Linked DNA regions of Daphnia pulex. The protein of the gene in region 1 binds, or shares a complex with, the protein of each later gene. Links are inferred from orthologs where the notes say so. Each region holds a gene or a part of one and is shown in the gene's direction. Other genes may lie near its edges.

Evidence for each region.
Region 2: glutamyl-tRNA(Gln) amidotransferase subunit B, mitochondrial-like (region 1) and glutamyl-tRNA(Gln) amidotransferase subunit A, mitochondrial-like share a complex: the UniProt entries of both Homo sapiens proteins name them as parts of the heterotrimeric GatCAB amidotransferase (AdT) complex. The link is inferred for Daphnia pulex from reciprocal best matches to the Homo sapiens genes GATB and QRSL1.

The regions. Positions count from the first base shown.
Region 1 is NC_060025.1:6,707,651-6,712,133, forward strand, and holds glutamyl-tRNA(Gln) amidotransferase subunit B, mitochondrial-like, read left to right. Parts: upstream 1-1,368; 5' UTR 1,369-1,613; coding exon 1,614-1,744; intron 1,745-1,831; coding exon 1,832-2,093; intron 2,094-2,161; coding exon 2,162-2,334; intron 2,335-2,617; coding exon 2,618-2,766; intron 2,767-2,826; coding exon 2,827-3,043; intron 3,044-3,151; coding exon 3,152-3,335; intron 3,336-3,399; coding exon 3,400-3,533; intron 3,534-3,591; coding exon 3,592-3,715; intron 3,716-3,786; coding exon 3,787-3,876; intron 3,877-3,944; coding exon 3,945-4,082; 3' UTR 4,083-4,187; downstream 4,188-4,483. Other genes in the region: nuclear transcription factor Y subunit alpha-like, read right to left, coding at 4,227-4,274, 4,348-4,459. UniProt on the Homo sapiens protein: Allows the formation of correctly charged Gln-tRNA(Gln) through the transamidation of misacylated Glu-tRNA(Gln) in the mitochondria. The reaction takes place in the presence of glutamine and ATP through an activated gamma-phospho-Glu-tRNA(Gln).
Region 2 is NC_060022.1:5,563,577-5,567,957, forward strand, and holds glutamyl-tRNA(Gln) amidotransferase subunit A, mitochondrial-like, read left to right. Parts: upstream 1-1,438; 5' UTR 1,439-1,541; coding exon 1,542-1,701; intron 1,702-1,757; coding exon 1,758-1,950; intron 1,951-2,017; coding exon 2,018-2,194; intron 2,195-2,279; coding exon 2,280-2,455; intron 2,456-2,521; coding exon 2,522-2,677; intron 2,678-2,777; coding exon 2,778-2,830; intron 2,831-2,884; coding exon 2,885-3,108; intron 3,109-3,171; coding exon 3,172-3,538; 3' UTR 3,539-3,590; downstream 3,591-4,381. Other genes in the region: reticulon-4-interacting protein 1, mitochondrial-like, read right to left, coding at 1-127, 189-301, 374-804, 864-1,086; DNA-directed RNA polymerase III subunit RPC2-like, read right to left, coding at 3,739-3,958, 4,024-4,187, 4,260-4,373. UniProt on the Homo sapiens protein: Allows the formation of correctly charged Gln-tRNA(Gln) through the transamidation of misacylated Glu-tRNA(Gln) in the mitochondria. The reaction takes place in the presence of glutamine and ATP through an activated gamma-phospho-Glu-tRNA(Gln).

The DNA.
Region 1 (4,483 bases):
AATTTTATTATTATCCACGGCGAAGCCGTGAAATTAAATTCGGTATCATCCACGGCGAAGCCGTGAAATTTACATTCGGGATCATCACGGCGAAGCCGTGAATATCATACTGGATCATAGGGGGTGTTACTGTTGATGCCTGTTACTAACGAGACGTTGTCGTTATACTACAAAATACTACTGTATCACTTTCCCTTTTCACACGAAATTTTGAAAAAGAATTATGAAACAATTTACTATTGACCATTTGTTGGTATGAAATAAATAAATTATTTAGAAAATTTTGATTTTCTTCCGAACGGTATTATTTGAGATACGTTTTACTAGTGATACACTGTAGCCATTTTCAATTTTACTTGTGATACAAATTACTATAGTACGATACTTAAGCGCCTTTTTACTACTGCGATTCCGTCATAGTGCTACGCACCGAATATTTTCCCCCGCGAAAAAGTGTTTCCGTATTTAACACAGCCGCTTATGGGAAAATGGTTTTTTTTTAAAACAGTATTTACATGACATCTTAGCACATAGAAATCCTTCCTTGGGTTCATTTTATAGCTAAAGAGTCATTCTATCTTATTCATTTATATTTATTCAAAAGGGGACATTCGTTTAGAAGTTATAACCGATATTCTAGGCCCTAATTTTGCATATTTTCCAAGTGTTTTGCATTAGTGAGTAACACACCCGCTTGGTGGTGATTAGCACAGCCGCTATCCGCTAGAAGGGGCTGCACTCCAAGCGGGTGTGTTACTCACTAATGCAAAACACTTGGAAAATATGCAAAATTAGGGCCTAGAATATCGGTTATAACTTCTAAACGAATGTCCCCTTTTGAATAAATATAAATGAATAAGATAGAATGACTCTTTAGCTATAAAATGAACCCAAGGGGGGATTTCTATGTGCTAATATGTCATGTAAATACTGTTTTTTAAAAAAACCCATTTTCCCATAAGCGGCTGTGTTAAATACGGAAACACTTTTTCGCGGGGGAAAAAAATTGGGTTTTACGTTTAATTTTTTTTTAAATACTAAATCTCGTTATAACTGCACAAAAAGTTGGGTACTTATAGAATGAAAGATTTTCTAAAATTTAATATTTTTTTAAATGGTTTATTTCAACAAGAAAGAATATTTACACGGGAAATAAAATTTCAAATCACGATTTATACATGTTCTACACGATAGTTTTAACTAGTATTTTAAAAATAACTACATTTTTATAGTACACACAGTGCTCACGAACAAAAATTCAGGTAATAATTTGTTTGGGGTCAAATCGCCAATTTGACTATACTATATAGCCAATCGGGAACCGGCCCGGGCGCCCGCCCATCATTTTTTAAAACTGCGCTTTTTTACCACTGTTTATCTCTCACCTGAAGAAACCCTTGTTGTTTTCTGCTTGAAATTTTTAACAACATAAACTTTTGTGCGGAATTTCTCAAATTGAATTTAGCGGCGTGATTTCTAACAATCTGCTCAGTTCTCAATGGGCATATCTCATCAGAAAAATTAGTAATTGTAAATGTGGTTTGTAAAGGCTTAACAAGCAATTCATTTTAACTGGTTCAGTCAGAAAGCAATTGAAATTCACTAATGTCGACATGATAAATTGTGGAGTCATAATGAATTCTTTTTGTAAGCAAAGAAGGAATCTTCCCTTTTGGATGCCTATTACTGGAATTCGAGCAATTTTTACTAAAAGCTTGGATTTGGCATGTGCTCAGGAAAAACGGTAAAACACATTTCAGTTACACACTAATTTTTGCTGTTCAACACAAAAGTTTATCAGCAATATATAACTGTGTGCTATATTTTATAGGAAAAACTGGGAAAGTGTTGTTGGTTTAGAAGTTCATGCACAAATCAAGACCAGTTCCAAGCTGTTTTCTGGTTCAGCTAATAAATTTGCATCACCTGCAAATTCTCTTGTGTCATTATTTGACTGTGCAATTCCAGGAACCCTCCCAGTTCTTAACAAAAAGGCTGTTGAAGCAGCTCTACTTACTGCATTAGCCCTTAACTGCAATGTTAATTTGGTTTCAGAATTTGACAGAAAACATTATTTTTATGCAGATATGCCAGTATACATTTTAATAATAATGTAATCATGATGATTTCTACAAAGCACATCAATTCAAACATTTTTCAGGCTGGGTATCAGATTACACAGCAAAGATTACCACTGGCCAGTGATGGATACTTGGATTTTGCTGTGTTTAGTTCAGCAGTGCACAAAGCAGCTTATAAGAAACAATCAAAAATTAAACAACTGCAATTAGAACAAGACAGTGGCAAAAGTTTGCACGAAGAATCTTGCTCCGGGTAAATATTTCTATAGTATTTAATACGGATTTATAATGCAGATTATTTACATCAGTAGTGTAAACTTAACCTAACACATTTATTGTTTAATGTTAATGTAAAATGAATTAGTTCAGGGTACAATAAAATACTAGTGAACTTAAGTGTGAAATTTCAAGCAAAAGTCAGAAATAACAAAAATCACACACTTTGTAATGTTGCAATTGCGCTACTTTTTCTTTACTAGATTAAACAGTAAAGAACCTTACTAGGCAACAATACTTAACAATTTAACTTTTTACAGGAGCCTTATAGATTTAAACCGAGCAGGTGTTGGTTTAATGGAACTTGTTTTTGAACCTGATCTCAAGGATGGTGAAGAAGCAGTTGCTTGCGTTTCTGAACTTATCAGGATATTAGAAGCCCTTGAGACATGCGACTGCAAGATGGAAGGTACACTTGTGATTTTATCTACTTCTTTTAATAGCAGTTTTAGAGTAACTTCATTTTTAGAGGGTTCTTTACGGGTCGATGCAAATATTTCGGTCAATAAGCCAGGAGAAACCTTCGGAACACGGACAGAAGTAAAAAATCTTAATAGTTTACGAGCATTAGCTCGATCGATTGACTACGAAATCGTGCGACAAATCGAAGTTTTAGAAAAAGGAGGCAAAATTACAAATGAGACTCGTGGATATGACCCCCAACAGAAAATAACCTTATCTATGAGGTTTGTCTTTTAATTTCTAAGTATGCCAAACTAAACAAAAATACTGACCTTTTTTTTCATATTATATTTTGTATTAATGCATAAACATATCTCCCCATCCATATTTAGAGATAAAGAAGAAAAACAGGATTACCGATACATGCCTGAACCAAATTTGCTACCATTAAGTCTTTTACAATTGAAATTAGACCCATCTGACTTTCGAGTACGCATCCCAGTTTTGCCTGAGCAAGAACGTACAATGCTTATGGAGAAATACCAATTAAGCTTGGAAACAGCTATACAATTAGTGGTAATTTATTTAGCAGTTATCATTTTGCTATGATTTTCTATTTAATGTAAAAAGTTAAATCTAGAATGGGAGGAACATTGACTATTTCCTAAACGTAATGGATGCATTGCCAAATCTTCCGGTAAAAAAAGTGTGTAGCTTGCTTCTAACGGATTTGCTTGGTCTTCTACATAAAGATGAAAAGACAATTCAAGAATGGTAATGAACAACAAAATTAAATGGTAAAGATTTTCATATTTTTCCTATTTTCTTTTAGCCAGATAAATCCTCGGCAATTTGCGAAAATAGTTGAACTTGTGAAAAACAAAAAGATCTCCCATTCAGCTAGCCAAAATTTGCTATTACTTCTCTACCGTGGTGATTTACGTCACCCTGAACAGGTTTGTTTCCATTTTTCATTGTACTGAAACAAGGGTGTAATTATTCTCGTTGTTTTGTTTGTTTTTTTCAGGTGGTTGAAGAAGAAGGGTGGACTATGATTAATGATCCTAAACAACTTGAAGTCATTTGCAAACAAATAATATCCGAAAATCCTAAATCCGTATAGCTTCTTCATTTTCAAATGATTGACCTCAGCCTTTAATTAGAATTTTGTACATATTTCTATAGGTCGCCGCTTTTCGAGCTGGTAAAGCAAAAATATTCAAAAGCTTGGCAGCCCAGCTTAAAAAGGAGTGTAATGACAAATATGATATGGGAGACGCAACGCAAACTTTAAAAAGACTATTGGAAGAAAAGAATTTGTAAATCAATTTTTAAAAAGTAAAAATTATTTCCGTGTACTTGGTTGGCGTTCAAAGTTTACACCCTTGCAGTGCTGAAAAGTAAATGAGAAACAGACAAAAAACCTCAGTAAGTCAGTACTTTTATTTTTAAGAACATGTATCCATCTCAGCCTAACGGATCTGATGTCATTATTTCCGATAATGATCCGCTATCCTAAATGGCATAACGGAAGGGTTATATATTACCATCCCTGATGATGAGGAATGTGTTAGCACAATGTAATTACCTTTTTATAGTAATTTGCTGTAAGTGCCTCTATAGATACAGTTTCCATGGAGGAACTCATCACTGCAGCATGGTTTTGGTTTGAGGTGTCTACTTGGTGTACTTTGGCCCTTCTGCAATCGGAATTGATACATTTG
Region 2 (4,381 bases), on another chromosome or scaffold:
TCCGTGTTCGTCAAAATTTCGCAATGTAGGCGGAGATAAAGTTACGTACTTAGCGTTTGCCCAGGGTTTCAACAGACTGTACGAGAACTTCTCAGTTCGACCAGAACAATCCAATATCACATCAAACCTAAGCAAACAAAATTGAAGGAATTGTCAAGAGCAAATAAACCTATAAATGTGGTACTAACCCCCCAAACTGTTGTAACTCAGAATCTGCTTCAGGAGAAGTGTAGTCAACTGCAAAATCAGATCCTAATTGCAAAAGAAAGGGAATTGCTTCTGAGGACCCTGTTGAAACAACCTATGCCAGAGACCAAATGAGAGGGATAATAGAGCATGAATTATATTTCAATAAATAATATATATCTTATACCAATGTGCCCCAATTTTTCAAAAGCTGTATAGCTATTGTGCCAACTCCTCCAGCTGCTCCAAGCACAAGCACCCTTTTACCTTTAGAGCCAATACATAGCTCAGCAGTGATACTTAATGCTGACCAAGCAGTGAGGCCAGCATAAGGAATAGAAGCTGCTTCTTCCATGGTCAAGTTTTCTGGTTTGTGTTTCATGTTGCATGCTGAAGCTACAAGATATTCAGCATGGGATCCTGGTAAGGGAGGTTGAATAACCCCCATGACTTCATCACCAGGTTTAATTCCTGTGACACTTCCACCCACAGCTTGAACAACACCTGCAAAGTCTCTTCCAGGGTACGTTAATGAAAGATCCTGATTATTTGCCATTTGTCTGAATACACTTGATTTCAGTTTATTAAATTTTTCAAAAACCTGGTGGCCGTAACCCTCTGTAAAAAAAGAAGATAACTGGACATAAGTTTGAATACAATGATAAAAAGTGATTTACCTGTCATCATTACATCAAGTGCATTTACTGATGCTGCATTCACTTTAACTAAGACATCATTTGGGCGTGAAAGAGGAGGTACTTCCACAGTATTGATCAACTTTAAAGATTCCAATCCACTGTACCCACAAATTTGCCAAGCTGACATGGTATTTGGCAAATCTGTGAATTCATTTGGTTTCACAAATGAACTGAGTCTTCGAATAGATGATTTTAAGAACATTATGTCAAGTCCCAAATGGTACGAGTGAATCAACGTTTTGCTATCGCTTCATAACAAATACACGTGTGGAACATGGAACGTTACTGTCTTGTGTCTATTATTACATAACAAATGGCTTAGGTTCTCTTACCACACAGCGCTCCGAGTGGAAAGTTATTCAACTATATTTTTACAAATTTCATATAGTTGAATTCAATTTGATGAAAAAATTTGAAGAATTATGGCGTTATTTTGCGAGAAATTCTCGTTATTTTTGGTCTTTATCTGTGCTTACTGCTTAGAGCCTTGATTTTAGTATATTTGAATTCAAAGAAAGCAGCACTGGCAACCCGCAACCGGGGAAGAATTCAAAACAATTTTTGTTTTGAGACGTCTGCTGGTGTGCAAAACCAAAACCAGGCAACTTTTAACAATATTACACGGGAATCGGGGAATAAATCTAATAAATCCCATAAATGTTGCATCAGTTAAAAAATGGAAGCTGCACTGTGCAAGAACTTTATGCGCAATGTGCAAATCGTGTGCAAGTGATTAAGAGTTTAAACGCTTACATAAGAGTGACAGATGAAGTTAGTCAAGTACAGCTTCAGGAATCTACTACGAGATATTTGAAAGGTATTACAAAATTATGTTGATTTCTTTAGTCCCCAGCTAAAAAATAGTAATTGTAGGAACAACCAGACCGATGGAAGGAATTCCAATTGCTATAAAAGATAATTTTTGCACAAAGAACATTGCAACTACATGTGCTTCAAAAATGTTGGAAAACTTTGTTCCAACTTACAATGCAACTGTTGTTGAAAGATTACTTGATTCAGGAGCTATATTGATGGGGAAAACAAATTTGGATGAATTTGGAATGGGGTACATACATTTTCTACAGCATTTTTAATACAAGTTCTCACTGAATCTATATGATATGCTGTTACAGATCAGGAACAACTGAGAGCATATTTGGACCAACAAAAAATATTTGGGGGTCCAATTTAATTAGCAAGGCAAATGATATTGATAATAAGGTATCAGGATCTCAATCAGATGATTTTTGTATTGCTGGTGGTAGCTCAGGTGGTAGTGCTGTTGCTGTTGCTGCTGGATCATGTTCAGTGTAAGTATTCATTTTTTAAATGTATAATGATAAGATAGACTTTATTATACAAGTTTTAATGTAATTTTGTTGTCCCACATGACAGAGCTTTAGGGTCCGATACTGGCGGCTCAGTTCGTAACCCTGCTAGTTATTGCGGCGTCGTCGGATTTAAACCGAGTTATGGGTCCATTTCTAGATACGGTCTAATTCCCTTGGTTAACTCCATGGATGTTCCGGGGATTTTAGCACGCACCGTTGGCGATTGTCGGTCTGTTTTTGGTATGCTATTAGCTGTAAGTAATTATTTTGTGAATTCGTTTCACCGTTCTTTCATTGGTTGAACAGAAGTTATAAAAGGTTGTGATCCCAAAGACTCGACGACACTCCAACGGCCGTTAAATAAGAGTAAAACGAAAAGAAGCTCCAATAAGTTCGATAAATTATGTGTGGGGATTCCAAAAGAATTCTACTGCCCCGGATTATCATCTGAAGTTATTGACGGTAACTTTTTGTTTAGAAAATTACACGAGTTGTCACTAACTATTTAAAATTTCTTCTTTGCTGGGCGGTTGTTGCTTCGGAATTACCTTTAAATACTCAGCGTGGAAGGATGTAGCTGATCTGTTAGAAAACAGCGGATTTCGTGTAATTCAGGTAAATACAAGTGCTTATTTCTACTCTAACAGATTCTGATCCGACTTGTTCTAGGTGTCACTTCCTCACACTTCGTATTCTATTGCCTGCTATTCTGTACTCAATCCTTGTGAAGTAGCTTCGAATATGGCACGGTATGATGGACTACGATATGGCTATCGTGCAACTGGAAAGGACTTGAACAGCACTGAAAGTCTTTACGCGGCCAATCGATCACATGCCCTCAATCAAATTGTGCGCGGACGGATTTTGGCAGGAAACTACTTTCTTTTAAAAGAGTAAGTTCCCCGTCTTGTTTTTGTGAAGACCGCTATGCTATATTTACTGGTGAATTTTTCTAGGAATTACGATAAATATTTCGTGCAAGCTCTAAAGCTACGTAGATTGATTTATGACGATTACATTAAAATGTGGAGTACTGGTGTCGACATACTGTTGACGCCCGTCACCTTGTCCGATGCGCCATTGTTTTCAGAATTCACCGAAAAGGATTCTCGTGCTCAATCTGCAGATCAAGATTATTGTACGCAACCTGCAAACATGGCTGGAATACCAGCATTGAGCCTACCCGTCAGATTATCGAAGCGAAATTTACCTCTAAGTCTTCAACTAATGGCTCCTCATTTCGACGATGAAACGCTGCTAGACGTTGCTCATCTGCTCGAAAAAGAACTAAATTTTACCCATCCAACAGTTAAAGTAGCATAAGATCATGTTTCACTAGGTTAAATAAATTATCAATACAATTTATAAAGTCAGATTAGCGCCATAATGAAGTTTAGATTACATTTTCTTACCTGCTGCTAACCTATCCAGTACACAATTTTTTTAATTATACACAATAATAATCAAATCTAATTTCATTGATGAGTTGTAATGTTCAGCAAATTTGAGATATCACAACATCTTCAGTCAAAGTACTTATCCAATTTGAGTCGTGGAACTATGTTCATTGCCTGAAGCTCCTGAAATAAAAGTTTACAAGCATAGGGAATACGGATAGAAGAGACGGAGACGCTTGACTTGCAATAATGGCACCAACCAAAATAGCCCATCAGTCCGCACTGGTTGCAAACATCGACATCAAAGGCGTCACTAGATATCATTAATCGCTCCAAGATCAACATGCTAAAAACAAATTCAATACCAACTTTAAAAAATTCTCTTTGAAGAGCACGAAATATTTATCAAACCTGGATCCGTATGCGATAAGGCAATCTCGTTCCATCTCGCCAAGACGTAAACCACCTTCACGGGCCCGACCTTCTGTCGGCTGCCGTGTGAGTACAGCTCTTGGTCCACGGGATCGTGCGTGCATCTTATCCATCACCATGTGCTTCAATTTTTGATAGTATACCTAGAAAATTACAAGGAGGCACATAGACGAATTAAGTGGCAATTCAATTAAGGTCGCTAGTCGTTTAATTACCGGCCCGAAATAAATATAAGCAGACAGTTGTTCCCCTGTTGTACCAGACGTCATACACTCTTTGCCTTGGTAGTTGTATCCATGCTTAATCAATTCTTCACTAACATCTTGTACCTAACACA